Arabidopsis thaliana: one gene and its partners. The protein of the gene in region 3 binds, or shares a complex with, the protein of the main gene of each other region. Each region holds a gene or a part of one and is shown on either strand. Other genes may lie near its edges.

Region 1 (5,585 bases), on a different chromosome or scaffold from region 3:
ACAATTAAATTTTATATATACATTATCTTAAACACTAAACAAAGTAAACAATATTAATAAAACAAATATCTACATATACATTCTATATAACATATTTTATTAAAAACCTAGCCCCGCGGTATACCGCGGGTCAAAATCTAGTATATCCTAAAAATTCACCGAAATCTCTCCAAATCAATTGTTTTTCTAAATTCCACCAAACCCTCCTAAATCTTTAATTGAATACATATATCTCTTTGTGTGTGTAAATTTATATGTATATACATAGAATGTTTGGTTTTGTTTAGACTTTAATTGATAAGTGTTAGTTGAGAACCTGATTGTTGATAACTGCAACACATTATTCAGGTCTCTTCTGTTGAAAATTTTATGGCAATAATCCTTTTCTTGTGGCAATAATCCTTTTCTTAGCGATTCAGGAGGACACGAGGCACACTGATATTTTTTTTGATTACATATACAGATTTGTTCAAATTTAATGTATTGTTTTAGTCTTTTTCTGTTGTCCATTTATTTTCTAGCATACACCTCCACTTTGAAGTTATATTTGTCTTTTTTTGGTAAAAAAAACTAATTTAGTTTAAAAGAAAAAAAAACAGACTTAATAAATAATCCAAATAAATTGTTTCAATCATATACCAAATAAAGTAATGTTTATTTGTTTACTTGTTTACCATCTCCATGGTGTTGTCTATTTCCTAACGATTATCATTGATTTTTTATCTTTTACTTTAAAAATAAAAAGTTAGACAAATCTTGACGAATTTTTTACATACATGAATTTTTTTTGGCAAACCCGATAAAATGGTTCATAGTGATAATAGAACTGAACTGAACATAAATTGAAAAAAAAAAAATCAGCTAATCTATGGGTCTGTGGCAGTTCTAATGACTCTTTCAACAAGATCTAGCCATATTTTAGTGTATGTGAAAGGGCATGCAAAGAAGATATAGTCTTAGGCTTTTCTCGTTTCCCACAAAAATACACTATTTTGAACATTTCATCGCGGTTTTGAATAGTAATTTTAGTTTTAGTTATATAATAACTTATAAAAAAATATTTATAATACAAAAAAATCTTTTTAAATGTATAATCTAATTTTTATGGAAATGTAAAAAGGGTGTTACACTTTTTTCAGTACGTATTAAAAATTTATCTCTCATCACAAAAATCTAAATCACAATATTTAAAAGTATTAACTAGTAAATCTACTTCAAATTAAAGATTATTATTACTATTTAAATATCTCACCAATAAAAACTCATTGATTTTTTCTAATTTCTTACAAAACATTCTCCGTTGGAAATTTTCTTTATATATGTATATTCTAAATTAAAATAAGAAAGAAATATTCATTGTATGGTTAGTCAAAGTACCCACTCACATTAATGGCAACTTGTATATCAGGAAAGATATTTCTGTCTTCAAAATGTTGAATAATTAGATTCTAAAAACTGTATAAAATATTAAAATCTAACCATTTTACTAATATATTTTATATTTTTGTCATAATTAGGTAATTACTATTAAGTTAAAACAGAAACTGATCTACTTCTTAACATGGTTGTGTGTAAATTAATTTATTGTTTAATATGATTCATGAAAAAAGTGTGATACCATTAGTCAACAGTGTGACTCAGATTTACCTCAGCAAAGGAGAGTAAAAACAAAGGAAAGATGATAATATATGTGCCCATAGACTCTTTTCTTGTACTTTTCCTCAATTTTCTAGTGGTGCAATTTTTCGTGTGCATGCTCATATAATTTGTATCATGGGTTCCATTTTTTTCTTGCATCAACCATACTCTATAAGATTATGTTAAGAGTCTTCTACGTCTAAATCATTTTTCCAAAAAAAATTCTGTTCAATTTGAAGGTTTTTGTTAGAAACAAAATCTATGAATTTTATGAAAATTTACTGATTTTTATCGGTTTAGACAATCAGTCAAACCACAAATTTCTTCCTTCAACTAGGGGACCTATTCATATAGTGAACGAAATGAATTTTGCTAAAATATGATTTTGATTTGGGGCGTATCACCTTTTGGTGGATTTTCTAGTTAGATTCACCATCAATTATTTTTTATTGTTCATTTTATAGGTAGTTTTTTTCTCATAATCCGTCCATTTTATTGATATTTTACCTTGATATATATTTTTGTTATAGAGGTTTAATTATATATTTCTTTTTTATATTTCAGGTTTTATTATCTATAGTAATTAAAATGGATGGATCATCGGAAAAAACTACCAATAAATTAGTATCGATTCTACCAAATTATAGGATTGGTAAGACTCTTGGACATGGATCCTTTGCGAAAGTGAAATTAGCACTGCATGTAGCTACTGGTCACAAAGTTGCTATCAAAATTCTTAATCGCTCTAAGATTAAGAACATGGGTATTGAGATCAAAGGTATGTATTATTTACTTCAATTTTGTTACTCTTTTTTCATTTGTACAAAAGATTAGAGGAGGTATAACACCTCTCTAAATGTATATATAGATGTATCTTTATTTTTCTTCACGAGATCTAATAGGTCTACGAGATTTCGGCAACCACCATGATCAATAATTTTTGGTTTTGATAATATAATTACAAGTTTATTTGGTATGGATTGTATTTTAATACTGAGAAATCAGAAAAATATTTTTATTTTAAAATCTGTTTTTTTCTACGAAAATACTTTATCCGAATCTTAGGTCTCGAAGCCGAAAGACTGTTCATTAATATAGGTCACTGTTATGATTTGTTTTTTTTTTTGGACTACTTTATGTGGCAAAAAAATATTACGCTTTATGTCTTATATAATCGTTGTTATTTATTAGTAATCTTAATAAATGAAATTGTTTAAGTCTCTTGTAGTACAAAGGGAGATCAAAATTCTCAGATTTTTGATGCATCCTCATATCATCCGTCAATATGAAGTTATAGAGACGCCAAATGACATTTATGTTGTGATGGAATATGTTAAGTCTGGAGAACTATTTGACTATATTGTAGAGAAAGGTAAATTACAGGAAGACGAGGCTCGTCATCTTTTTCAGCAGGTTTGGTATATATATAGTATTTATCCAAACATTTTGTATTTCATAAAACCTTATATCCTTTTCGATTGGCAACACTTTTATTTAAACCATATATTCTCAGATCATATCTGGTGTAGAGTATTGTCATCGCAATATGATCGTTCATAGAGATCTTAAGCCCGAGAATGTGCTTTTGGATTCGCAATGCAACATAAAGATTGTTGACTTTGGATTGAGTAATGTCATGCATGATGGTCATTTTTTAAAGACTAGTTGTGGAAGCCCTAATTATGCTGCTCCAGAGGTATAAGAGATTAACATATTCTTCATTTTTATTTCATGAATTTGGATATATATTTGAAGTATCAATTACTCACACCTGAAACTTATTTATATAGGTTATTTCAGGAAAACCATATGGACCAGATGTAGATATATGGAGTTGTGGGGTGATATTATATGCTCTGTTGTGTGGTACTCTTCCTTTCGATGACGAAAATATTCCTAATGTATTCGAGAAAATAAAGGTATTAATAAACAACGATCTTTTTATAAAAATCATATATATTACACATGGTTATGAATTTTTTCTCTATTTCTTTAGAGAGGAATGTATACTCTTCCAAATCATTTATCACATTTTGCTAGAGATTTGATACCGAGAATGCTTATGGTTGATCCTACTATGAGAATTAGCATTACTGAGATTCGTCAACATCCTTGGTTCAATAATCATCTTCCTCTTTATCTTTCTATTCCTCCATTAGATACCATAGACCAAGCTAAAAAGGTTAGAATTTGTTTTCATTAAATTGTACCAAAATAACATCATTTTTATGAATTCAGTTAATTTTGTATCAATTTTACTCTTTCTAGATTGAGGAGGAGATAATTCAAAACGTGGTTAACATAGGGTTTGATAGAAACCATGTTGTTGATTCTCTTGCCAATAGAATCCAAAACGAGGTATGAGTGTTTTCATATTTCATATAATAATCCTATTATACTCAAAATAGTTTTATAAATGATACTCAAGTTAAATTTCGTTACTTTAGGCTACAGTTGCATACCATCTAATCCTAGACAACCGAAACCAAAATTCTGTTCCCAATGACCCTTTCCAATCCAAGTTTAAAGAGATTTCGGTACTTACTCTCTTTCTCTACAACCTGAATTTAAGAAAAATAAATAAACATTACTTCTCTATATAATTATATTTTCGTTTTAATCCTACAAATATAGGATGGTATATTTAATTCGACGTTACCAGTTCAAAATATTACTTCACATGTTGGCCATTCATTTTCGGCATTGTATGGACTAAAATCCAATGTCAAAGATGACAAAACATGGACCCTTGGACTTCAGGTTAGTCCATGCATGGTTAATGTTTAATCCATTGTTGTTCATGTTACTTTAGCATTCAATTTCGTCTCATGTTTTCTTAATTTTCTTTCTATTCAAAACAGTTTATCAATATATATATCAAAATAATTGTTTGGAATTTTGACAGTCTCAAGGGAGTCCTTATGATATCATGACTGAAATTTTTAAAGCTCTTCAAAATCTAAAAATATGCTGGAAAAAAATCGGACTCTACAATATAAAATGTAGATGGGTCCGAAGCTTTGCTTACTATAAGAATCATACAATTGAGGATGAATGTGCCATCATCTTACCGACCGTCATCAAATTTGAAATTCAGGTATATTTATCCAATTTAAGATATTATACTATAATTTAATAGTCCATAAATAACAATTTTTTTTGTTTTGATGCGAATATAAAATTATCAACAATTTACATTGTTAAAATCTATTTAGAGCAATTTCTTAAATGCAAACCTAATTTGTATCATTTTGGTTGTTGTTATAGCTATACAAAGTACGCGAAGGCAAATATTTGCTGGACATCCTAAGAATTGATGGACCTCAGTTTATCTTCTTTGATCTATGTGTTGCGTTTCTCAGAGAGCTAGGTGTCCTCTAAAGCTCAACCATCACTGGTGTTTTAGATGATTATTGCGGTTAGCTAGGTCCTCTAAAGCTCATTTCATCAATGTTTTTTCGATGATTATTGCTTCAATGTTTTAAATTCAATTATGTTTTCTATGTTTCTGTATTTATGGATTAAGTAATCCTTGACAATAAACAAAAAAAAAAAGAAGATAGATTGTATTTTTTTTTGCATTAAGTTTTGGAAAATGCATGTACTTTTTACACTTTCTCGATTTATGATGCCAATTTTGTTTGAAAAACACACAGTACATGCATTTTCATAGATTTTTTTATATTTCTAAAATATAATTTAATGAAACCACATTTGATCAATTAACTCTGTTTAGCAAAGTGATTGATCACAGATCAAGTTGAATATATATTTACCTTCTAAGAGATTACAAATCGGTGATTGATCAAACTAAAGACCAAAGATACACAACCAACTCTCATGGAGCTTCACGAGAAACTCCTCAGTCAGACACACAATTTATTTCTCCTCATCTCTTAGAATTCTCATATTGTCTATCCAATTTCGTTTAGTGTGTCTGACTCAAA
Region 2 (6,060 bases), on a different chromosome or scaffold from region 3:
TTTGATCCTATACATTGTCCCCGTTGTATTGGTTCAAGGTCTTGCTAATCTTCACCAGTTGGAGACTTGGTTCCCTTTTCTAAAAGGAATATTAAATATGTAAGTAAAGCCCTATTTAGATAAAGATGGTTCTTCGTTTCAATTGAACAATTACAAAATCTTCTTTTTTTTCTTATGATTGCAGGAAAATCGTGAGTCAAGTGATTACGGGATATCTTCCGAGTCTCATTTTCCAGCTTTTCCTTCTTATAGTACCACCCATTATGCTTCTACTTTCCTCAATGCAAGGATTCATTTCTCATAGCCAGATTGAGAAATCTGCATGTATCAAGCTTCTAATCTTTACTGTATGGAACAGTTTCTTTGCAAATGTACTGTCCGGATCTGCCCTTTATCGTGTTAATGTGTTCCTTGAACCTAAGACTATTCCTCGTGTGCTTGCTGCAGCTGTGCCAGCACAGGTAAAGAACACAAAATTCAGTATTGAGGTTTCCGGAATTCCCTTTTCGTACCACGAGTCATGTTTATTGTTTAATCTTTGGTGTAGGCATCGTTCTTTGTATCTTATGTTGTGACCTCTGGATGGACTGGTTTATCATCAGAGATCCTCCGTTTGGTTCCTCTTCTTTGGAGTTTCATAACGAAACTTTTCGGCAAGGAAGATGACAAAGAATTTGAGGTTCCTTCAACTCCTTTCTGCCAAGAAATCCCAAGGATTCTATTTTTTGGACTCCTCGGTATAACTTACTTCTTCCTTTCGCCATTGATACTGCCTTTCTTGTTGGTCTACTATTGTCTTGGATATATCATCTACCGCAACCAGGTAACGGAACCAATCTCACTCCTAAGTATAATTCTCTGTTGATCTCTGATAAAATCATATAGGAATCAGCTACACATATTTTCGTTATATGGAATCTCACTTTTATCTTCTCTTTATATGTGATCCCTTTTCTAAATTCTCGAATAGCATCTTTAAACCGAAAGTATTTTTTGGAGCTTCAGTCATGACATAAACGTTACATCAAGAATCCATTTTCTCGTCACATAATTCTTTTTCTTCTTAATGAATCCATTGCAACTTGTTGATAGAAATAACATCACCTTTTTGTGCTGCAGCTCCTAAACGTATATGCGGCCAAGTATGAAACTGGTGGAAAGTTTTGGCCAATAGTTCACAGCTATACTATCTTCTCTTTGGTACTAATGCACATTATTGCAGTCGGATTATTCGGGCTTAAAGAGCTTCCAGTGGCATCTTCTTTAACAATTCCCCTTCCGGTTCTCACGGTCCTTTTCAGCATTTACTGCCAAAGACGGTTTTTACCAAATTTCAAATCTTATCCTACCCAGGTAAAGGCTTTAGAGAAATAGTTACTCATATTTTTGATCCAATGGAAGAAAAATATGGCTAGATAATCTTTTATTCCTAACCTAAACAAAACAAACAGAACATGATGCATAGTCCTTTATTACATTACAGCATCTACTCTAAACCTTTATATGGTGATGATGGATGTTTTACTTTTGCAGTGTCTGGTAAACAAAGATAAAGCAGACGAGAGAGAGCAAAACATGTCTGAATTCTATTCGGAACTCGTTGTTGCTTACCGAGATCCTGCACTTTCGGCATCACAGGACTCGAGAGATATCTCACCTTGAGATCACCTTTTTACTTGAGCTATTGAAGTTTGCTTATGTTGAAGCTGTTGGTTTACTATACCTGGTGCAATCCATGAAAGAACACACTAAACCGGTTGTCTTGTACATTGGGTCTTAACCGAGAATCAAGCGGTTTTTGTCTTGTACATTTGCTTACACTTGGCTTGTGTAAAAAAGAAAAAAAGTTTATGTCAATGTATCTCTCTAAACCGGTTTAAGACGGTACAAACTTTTTGAAAGATGCCAAAACAAAACGGTGGTTAATAATTTTACCACAGAGAATATTTAGCAAAAAGATGATGACTAGATGCCACGTCCGCATGGGGGTATATATTGTAATTAGTCGTAACTCTGGGGGTAATTTAGTTAAAGATTGATCCGTTTATGGAACCAAAAATCAAATAATTTCGTCTTTGATACTTGCTTGCGCCTTATAGGCTACAGGAGCGAGAGCAATGAAAGCGAGAGGAAGAATCTATCAATAATTTCTGGGTTTAAGCTGATCTCTGGATCTTCCTCAATTTTACTTTTTCAGCTCAGAAAATTTTGGGACTTTTTTTTGCTGCATTTTTTGGTTCCGAATTTTCTCCTCCGCCTTTTTTAATTTTTGGTAAGTTTCGATATCTCTCAATTTTCTTATTTCGGAAATAAAAAAAATTCTCGCCCTTTTGCAAATCAATGGATTGATCTTGAAATCGTCATTTCTGAATCGGGTACGAGAGATCCAGTAATCCTCTGCGATTGAATTATTATTAGGGTTCATATTCCGAATTGGGGATAGTCTGAAAATTGCTATTTTAAGCTCTCTTCTTAGTGTTGGTTGGTTTATTCTGGATAATAAAAGGGATCCTAATTCTCGCTAAATTCTCATGTTCAAACGAGTAGATGAGTTTAATTTAGTTTCTTCAACGATCGATCACAGAATCTTCAAAAGTGTAAAAATTACTTGCTTTTTGTTCCTATTACTCTTTTGCAGTTTGTTTTGTGTGTTGTGTACTAGTAGATCTAATATCTCTCTCTCTTTTTTTGTAGAGAATGGATGGATCAGGCACAGGCAGTAGAAGTGGGGTAGAATCGATTCTACCAAATTACAAGCTTGGGAGAACTCTTGGTATTGGTTCCTTTGGTAGGGTGAAGATAGCTGAGCATGCATTGACAGGACATAAGGTTGCTATCAAGATCCTCAATCGTCGCAAAATCAAGAACATGGAGATGGAGGAGAAAGGTACAAGTTTTGTTTTGTGTATCCATTCCACCTTAGTTGTGACTTCACGGTACTCTTGGAATATATAAATATATAGCTTCTTTTTCGTCTTCCTTCCTTTGAACTTATTTGGTCTTTGATGCAGTGAGGAGAGAGATCAAAATCTTGAGACTATTTATGCATCCTCACATCATCCGTCTCTATGAGGTTATAGAGACTCCCACAGATATTTATCTTGTCATGGAGTATGTGAACTCTGGTGAGCTATTTGACTATATTGTTGAGAAGGGTAGATTGCAGGAGGATGAGGCGAGGAACTTTTTTCAGCAGGTATGTTTTTATTTTATTTTATCAACATGTAACTTTCCAAGCAACCATTCGATTTTATATTATATTTGAGAGTTAAGAATTAGCTACTTGGCTTTGATGTAGATAATATCAGGAGTGGAATACTGCCATCGAAACATGGTGGTTCACAGAGACCTCAAGCCTGAAAACTTGCTTTTGGACTCTAAATGCAATGTAAAGATTGCTGATTTTGGCCTGAGCAACATAATGCGAGATGGTCATTTTTTGAAGACAAGTTGTGGAAGTCCAAATTATGCCGCTCCAGAGGTAAGTGCTTCAGCCCTCAGGTATCTGAGGAATACTATAATTAGGCTTGTTTCAAATGATAGGTTATAGTCGAGATCTATAAATTGTTTCAGGTAATTTCGGGCAAGTTATATGCTGGCCCTGAAGTAGATGTCTGGAGCTGTGGTGTGATACTCTACGCTCTTCTCTGTGGGACGCTTCCATTTGATGATGAAAACATTCCCAACCTTTTTAAGAAGATAAAGGTACATTCTATTACTCCTCCTCTTTCGTCTATTTGAACTAATGCTTGAATTTTTTATTTTATTTTTCGTATCACCCTTCGACTGTAACCTTTTTTTTTTCTCTTTTCGTCCTATAGGGAGGGATATACACATTACCTAGCCATTTATCTCCTGGTGCTAGAGATTTGATCCCCCGGATGCTTGTAGTTGACCCCATGAAACGAGTAACCATCCCTGAGATCCGGCAACACCCTTGGTTCCAAGCTCATCTTCCGAGGTATTTAGCTGTTCCTCCTCCAGATACTGTGCAACAGGCAAAAAAGGTAAGCCTAACGTATCTACTCTTATTTTCATTAGAGAAATCTCTATTCCCATTTTTCGATAAAGGCGTAAAAGCGCTGTCTTCATTTGTAGATTGACGAGGAGATTCTCCAAGAAGTTATCAATATGGGATTTGACAGAAACCACCTCATCGAATCGCTCCGCAACCGAACCCAGAATGATGTATGTGTTTCCCACCCACTTGTTCTTTTGCTGTTTCTTTCATTTCAAAGATTAAAAAAAATTCCATCAAAAGATCTTAAATACTGTATTCTTACCGACTGTCTTCCAGGGCACTGTGACGTACTATCTGATACTGGACAATCGTTTCCGTGCCTCTAGTGGTTATCTCGGGGCTGAGTTTCAAGAGACCATGGTTAGTCTTTTTTGTCCTTTTCGACTTTAGCAAAAGATCTTTGACGTAATGCTTCATTGTTTGATTTAATCAGGAAGGTACTCCCCGTATGCATCCAGCAGAAAGCGTTGCTTCACCTGTTAGCCATCGGCTTCCAGGACTGATGGAATATCAAGGAGTTGGCTTGAGATCTCAATACCCTGTTGAGAGAAAATGGGCTCTTGGACTTCAGGTTTTGATATTTTCTGTATTTATGGTATAAAGACTTCAGCTTTTGATATATATGTGATTAATATTGTAACAATTTGATCGCACAGTCTCGGGCTCATCCCCGTGAAATAATGACGGAAGTCCTGAAAGCCCTGCAAGATTTGAATGTATGTTGGAAGAAGATAGGGCACTACAACATGAAGTGCAGATGGGTTCCTAACAGCAGCGCAGATGGTATGCTCAGTAACTCGATGCACGATAACAACTACTTTGGAGACGAGTCCAGCATAATAGAGAACGAAGCAGCTGTTAAGTCGCCCAATGTTGTCAAGTTTGAAATTCAGGTAAATCCTCTTCTCCACTTCATGATACATATCGGTTTCCCGTACGACATTGTTTCTGATGTGTGATTTCGAGTGAAAGAAAGCTTTGTGTATTAGTGTCCATGGCCATTTTTGTAACTGAATTAGAACTAGAGTGAATCTTCATGAATCTAACTATCAATCAATATTTTCTGGGCTTGATGACGTTTGTTATTGTTGATGGTGAAACAGTTGTATAAAACTCGGGACGACAAGTATCTACTGGATTTGCAGAGAGTACAAGGTCCTCAGTTCTTGTTCTTGGATCTGTGTGCTGCTTTTCTTGCTCAGCTCCGAGTCCTCTGAATACTAAACCGGACCTCTTCAAGAATAATCCCCACTTATTCCTTTTTTTTTTTTTTTCTTATTCGTCTAAGAAATTATTTAGAAAACGTAACCCTTTTTTTCTTCTTCTCTTTCTTTCTATTTCTATATGCGTGCTCTACTCAAATACCTCTTTTAACTTAAATGTAAGACTGAGCAAGAGTAAAAAAAAGACACTTTGTACATAACTTGTAGTGCATCATGCCACCAAGATTGATTTTTGTTTTTGTTTACTCCATATTTCTTATGATTAAAATCAATAAGTTAAGGGAAAGACATTTTGACAAAAATTGAAGGAAAGATGTTTAAATTAGTTTCATTGAAAACAAATTAGCAAATTCAGAAGTAGTTGTTTTTGTTTCGTGTATTATTTGATGGGTCAATATTACACTATATTTTTTGTGTAAACAAATTAGCAAATTCAAAAATAGTTGTTTTTTGTTTTTGTCATCCTACTAATATTAAGACATTGAAAAACGAACATTTAGGATGAGCTTGATGTGTTTATTTCGAACTAAGATCCAAAAACTATACAAACTCAAAAACAAGCCCAAAAAGAATTTCAAAAGTTTCCAACGTGTGGTTTTACCTACCAGTTAATCTTCTCCTGCAAAAAAAAAAAAAACACATCAAGTGTGAGATAAACTCTCACAAAAATACAAGGAAATTTGTAATAATAATAAAAAAAGACACAATTATCTTTTGGTAAACCTGAAATTGAATAATTTCACACTGACTTGGGCTTTTTTTTTTAAATGAAAAATTAAACAAATATGGACTACAAATCATGATGGTAGGTAAAAA
Region 3 (4,433 bases):
TGCCAGTGGAGGAAATATGGTCAAAAGACTGCGAAAACCAATCCTCTCCCACGAGCCTATTACCGTTGCTCCATGTCGTCAAATTGTCCCGTTAGAAAACAGGTATAATACATTCTATAATTTCTCAATCCAAATATCTGTTTATTAACAATTGGTTTTGAGTAAAAACTTTTAAAACGAATGTCTATAGGTGCAAAGATGTGGAGAAGAAGAAACCTCCGCTTTTATGACAACGTACGAAGGAAACCATGACCATCCTCTCCCCATGGAAGCAAGCCACATGGCAGCTGGAACTTCCGCGGCTGCCTCCTTATTACAATCTGGCTCCTCCTCTTCCTCCTCCTCCACCTCAGCGAGTCTAAGCTATTTCTTCCCTTTTCACCACTTCTCTATCTCCACCACTAACTCGCACCCGACTGTAACATTGGACCTCACACGACCAAACTATCCCAATCAGTTACCAGACGACTACCCTCTATCGTCCTCCTCTTTCAGTCTCAACTTTTCCTCTCCAGATCCTCCACCTCCATCATCGCATGACCACACCTTGAACTTTAGTGGCTTGCGAACACAAGCTCCGTTGAGTACAGATTCATTATTGGCCCGTTATCGAACGAGACTTTCCGGACAGCAATAAGCCAGTAACTGTATCGGTATAGCTAGACACAAGTCTAGAAAGTAACTGATTTCCGTTTTCTTTGTCATTCATTTGTTTTTCAGCCTCTGAAAGAGAGATCTGGTTTTGGCATGATATGCAAAATGCTTATATACTTGTAGATATCCAAATGTTTAAATTAGTGGATTACCTATCATATCATGGATTATATATGTATATGAAGGTTTTGTAAATTAATGGTCTACACAAATTTGATACACCAAATATTTTTTTATGCTTATAAAAATTTTAAATACAATGTTAATTTTTTTTGTTGGTGAATTAAGTAAGTATGACTATGATGACACAATGATATCTAAAATGGAAGGTGGTTTTCATGCAGATTGACAAAATCTCCCTCTTTCACTTTTGCAAAATTGTTTGATTTTTACAAAATAAACTTTAGTTAGCATCACATAAAATAGTGGGTTATTTGACAAATTATCAACACAACGTATTATTATTTGAAATCACATACGTATTGTTTACTAATTTGATTATTATTATTTTTTGCTACAGACATTTACTAATTTGATGGTCAAAATTGTAGTCACCATTAAAATTATTTACATAAAAGAATTGATTATTTTACTTCCCTCAATTATCAAATATAAATTTGTGATGAATTTGACCGAAATGAAGATGTCTGAATTGTTTGAGCCACCTAAATGTTTAGATGGTCGATTCTTAAAAAGGAAAGAAAACAAAATGACCAAAAGAAAGAAAACGTATGAAACTATGATCCATCAGATATTACTTTTAAATCAATCTTGGGCTCAGGCCCGTTACTACCGTTTTCTATCTTAGAATTCGGCCCATCCACGTCAGCGACTCCGGTTATAACGCTGTTAAACTCTTTTGACACACGACCACTTATTATAACGTCACGTGTCAATGCACTTCATCAGGACGCGCGTAACCGCCAGAAAAGCGAAACCAAAGGTCCATCTCCGACACGTTGCTTATCCGACCACACTCACCACTGTTCTAAATTCTCTCTTTTTTTTTTCCTTAACCAAAAAAGCTCTCTTTTTTTCTTCTGGGTTTCATCGTTTCCAATCTAAAATCATCGTAGATTTGTTTGAAATTCTTCAAATTGAGCCGGTATCAAGACATGGCGGGAAGTGAAGCGGTAGAAGATAAGGAGATAAAATCGGCGGTTTCAAGCTGTGAAGCGTATTTCGAGAAAGTACAATCAAGGAAGAATCTACCCAAATCTCTTCAAGAAACCCTAAACTCTGCTTTCGCCGGAATCCCAGTCTCCTCCTTCCCTCAAGTCCCCGGCGGCAGAGGTAAAAATTAGAAAGATCCCATTTTTTTCGATTCCTCCAAATTTCCTGATTTCTCGTTTAAAGTTTGAGACTTGGCAATGGTTTAGATTCAATTAGTGTTTTGTTTGATCGTAGTGATAGAGATTCAAGCGGAAACACCTGTATCAGAAGCAGTAAAGATCTTATCAGATAGCAAGATTCTATCAGCTCCTGTGATTAACACAGATCACGAGAGTTCTTTAGATTGGAGAGAAAGATATTTAGGAATCATTGACTACTCTTCAATCATCTTATGGGTGCTAGAGAGTGCTGAACTCGCTGCAATCGCGTTGTCCGCTACGTCAGCAACTGCTGCTGGTGTTGGTGCTGGAGCTGTTGGAGCTCTTGGTGTTGCAGCGCTCGGGATGACCGGTCCGGTTGCTGCTGCGGGGCTAGCCGCAGCTGCGGTTGGAGCCGCGGTTGCTGGTGGTGTTGCAGCTGAACGTGGGATTGGAAAAGATGCTCCAACTGCTGCTGATAAGTTGGGGAAAGATTTCTATGAAGTTATTCTTCAAGAAGAGCCTTTTAAATCAACCACTGTAAGTTTTTTAACAGAACATTAAGTTATTTGTGTTGTGATGGTCCTGATTGATCATGGATATATGTTTATGTTGTCAGGTTAGAACAATACTTAAGTCGTTTAGATGGGCTCCTTTTCTTCCGGTTTCAACAGAGAGTTCGATGTTGAGTGTTATGTTGTTACTCTCGAAATATCGGTTAAGAAATGTGCCGGTTATTAAAACAGGAGAACCGGATATCAAGAACTACGTTACTCAATCTGCAGTTGTTCATGGTCTTGAAGGTTGCAAAGGTAGAGATTGGTTTGATCACATTTCCGCTCTCCCGATTTCTGATCTCGGCCTCCCGTTTATGTCACCCAATGAGGTAATAAAATAAACTTTAAGAAGTCATGACATTAGGCTCGTAAACCGGTGAAATTGAACATGTTGGTTTCAGGTTATTAGCATTGAGAGTGAGGAACTTATCCTTGAAGCATTTAAAAGGATGAGAGACAACAACATTGGTGGTCTCCCTGTAGTTGAAGGGTTGAATAAGAAGATTGTTGGTAACATTAGCATGAGAGACATTAGATATTTGCTTTTACAACCTGAAGTCTTTTCCAATTTCAGGTTTATTTTTACTCACTTGTTTCTCATTACAACTTCTCTGGTAACAATGATGACTGAATGATCTCTTTGTTGATGATAAAGACAACTCACGGTGAAGAGTTTCGCGACAAAGATTGCTACAGCGGGAGAGGAATACGGTTTAGCGATTCCTGCAATAACTTGTAGGCCTGATTCGACTTTAGGGAGTGTTATAAACAGTTTGGCTTCGAGGTCGGTGCATCGGGTTTATGTAGCGGCTGGAGATGAGAATGAGCTTTATGGGGTTATAACACTGAGGGATGTGATCTCTTGTTTCGTATCAGAACCTCCAAATTACTTTGAGAACTGTCTCGGTTTCTCGGTTAAGGAAATGCTTAACCGATGATCTCTTGTTTCTCAGCTTTTTTTTGGCTTTGTTGTTTGTTCTTTCTTGGTTTAGATTTCTGAAGTTGTTGTCTTTATATCTAATTTGTAACCAACCATTTTGAGTTTTAAAGTTCTATCATTAACGACATCTTAGGATTGAAAATATATATGTACTGTAATGATTGGATAAAAAATTTTCTGTTTTATGGATTGTTCAATTTCATATTTGTGTTTGTGTAAGTCTCGCCAATTCAATGCAGCTGATTAAGTTCAACTTACAGGGAAGCCAAACTAAGAGTTTAATCAGCTTGAAACAAATTGTATAACTAACAAATGAAATGACTCACTCATGAATGATAGATCAATAACCAACCACATTACTTATCTTCTTCATGAAAAGGCTCATAACTCACCTCAACCGTTGACTACACCGCTCGATAATTAATATAGCCTGTGGGTGCCAAGATGTCACCTAGAGTCCCCCCAAACACTTCAGTGTTCATCAGATTGATTGATCGATCGATAGATGATAACAAAGTATGAACAATGAAGCGTTTAAGGGAACTCAAGGGGACATTTGACTTTACATGTTATGTCTCTTTTGCAAATGCTTCTTCTCTTACTCAACTGACCTTAGCGACAACCCAAACTGCATATTTATAGTCTATAGATACTTGCCAATGGAATTGTTTTTAAAGGAGGGACCATAGATTCTATATTCTTCATTGAATGGCAAAACATGCGGGAAATATGAGGATGAACCAAGTCGGAATTTTGGTAATAAGGAGCCAAGATAATATTTAATATTCCCATCAGTGTGCTACATAAGCACATTCTTCACAAGATCTTTCGTCCCGCAGATCTTATTCTACTCTTTTTTCCGATGTAAAATTGATTTAGAAACCCAATATAATAAAGTATAAAAGTATCTTAAAAATCTCACTATAGTAAAACTAAACGAAGAAAATTTTCCCTAAACATGGCCTTTAACGC

The links. The genes of interacting proteins can lie anywhere in the genome.
Region 1: AT1G69800 (region 3) and SnRK1.3 share a complex: the UniProt entries of both Arabidopsis thaliana proteins name them as parts of the probable heterotrimeric complex.
Region 2: AT1G69800 (region 3) and KIN10 share a complex: the UniProt entries of both Arabidopsis thaliana proteins name them as parts of the probable heterotrimeric complex.

The regions. Positions count from the first base shown.
Region 1 is NC_003076.8:15,779,681-15,785,265, forward strand, and holds SnRK1.3 (SNF1-related protein kinase 1.3), read left to right. Parts: upstream 1-2,226; coding exon 2,227-2,416; intron 2,417-2,866; coding exon 2,867-3,051; intron 3,052-3,151; coding exon 3,152-3,334; intron 3,335-3,428; coding exon 3,429-3,557; intron 3,558-3,634; coding exon 3,635-3,820; intron 3,821-3,906; coding exon 3,907-3,996; intron 3,997-4,085; coding exon 4,086-4,175; intron 4,176-4,272; coding exon 4,273-4,398; intron 4,399-4,543; coding exon 4,544-4,735; intron 4,736-4,905; coding exon 4,906-5,019; downstream 5,020-5,585. UniProt on the Arabidopsis thaliana protein: Catalytic subunit of the probable trimeric SNF1-related protein kinase (SnRK) complex, a central regulator of cellular energy homeostasis, which, in response to seemingly unrelated darkness, sugar and stress conditions, activates energy-producing pathways and inhibits energy-consuming processes.
Region 2 is NC_003074.8:30,615-36,674, reverse strand, and holds KIN10 (SNF1 kinase homolog 10), read left to right. Parts: upstream 1-2,187; 5' UTR 2,188-2,531; coding exon 2,532-2,597; intron 2,598-2,694; coding exon 2,695-2,887; intron 2,888-3,011; coding exon 3,012-3,196; intron 3,197-3,298; coding exon 3,299-3,481; intron 3,482-3,573; coding exon 3,574-3,705; intron 3,706-3,821; coding exon 3,822-4,007; intron 4,008-4,098; coding exon 4,099-4,188; intron 4,189-4,297; coding exon 4,298-4,381; intron 4,382-4,454; coding exon 4,455-4,592; intron 4,593-4,677; coding exon 4,678-4,914; intron 4,915-5,124; coding exon 5,125-5,238; 3' UTR 5,239-5,494; downstream 5,495-6,060. Other genes in the region: HYP1 (hypothetical protein 1), read left to right, coding at 1-99, 185-461, 548-823, 1,120-1,353, 1,534-1,662; AT3G01085 (Protein kinase superfamily protein), read right to left, coding at 5,853-5,863. UniProt on the Arabidopsis thaliana protein: Catalytic subunit of the probable trimeric SNF1-related protein kinase (SnRK) complex, a central regulator of cellular energy homeostasis, which, in response to seemingly unrelated darkness, sugar and stress conditions, activates energy-producing pathways and inhibits energy-consuming processes.
Region 3 is NC_003070.9:26,273,442-26,277,874, reverse strand, and holds AT1G69800 (Cystathionine beta-synthase (CBS) protein), read left to right. Parts: upstream 1-1,545; 5' UTR 1,546-1,549; coding exon 1,550-1,597; exon of another isoform or gene 1,598-1,730; coding exon 1,731-1,947; intron 1,948-2,061; coding exon 2,062-2,504; intron 2,505-2,583; coding exon 2,584-2,850; intron 2,851-2,922; coding exon 2,923-3,095; coding exon of another isoform or gene 3,096-3,156; exon of another isoform or gene 3,157-3,176; coding exon 3,177-3,459; 3' UTR 3,460-3,645; downstream 3,646-4,433. Other genes in the region: WRKY36 (WRKY DNA-binding protein 36), read left to right, coding at 1-102, 191-637. UniProt on the Arabidopsis thaliana protein: Regulatory subunit of the probable trimeric SNF1-related protein kinase (SnRK) complex, which may play a role in a signal transduction cascade regulating gene expression and carbohydrate metabolism in higher plants.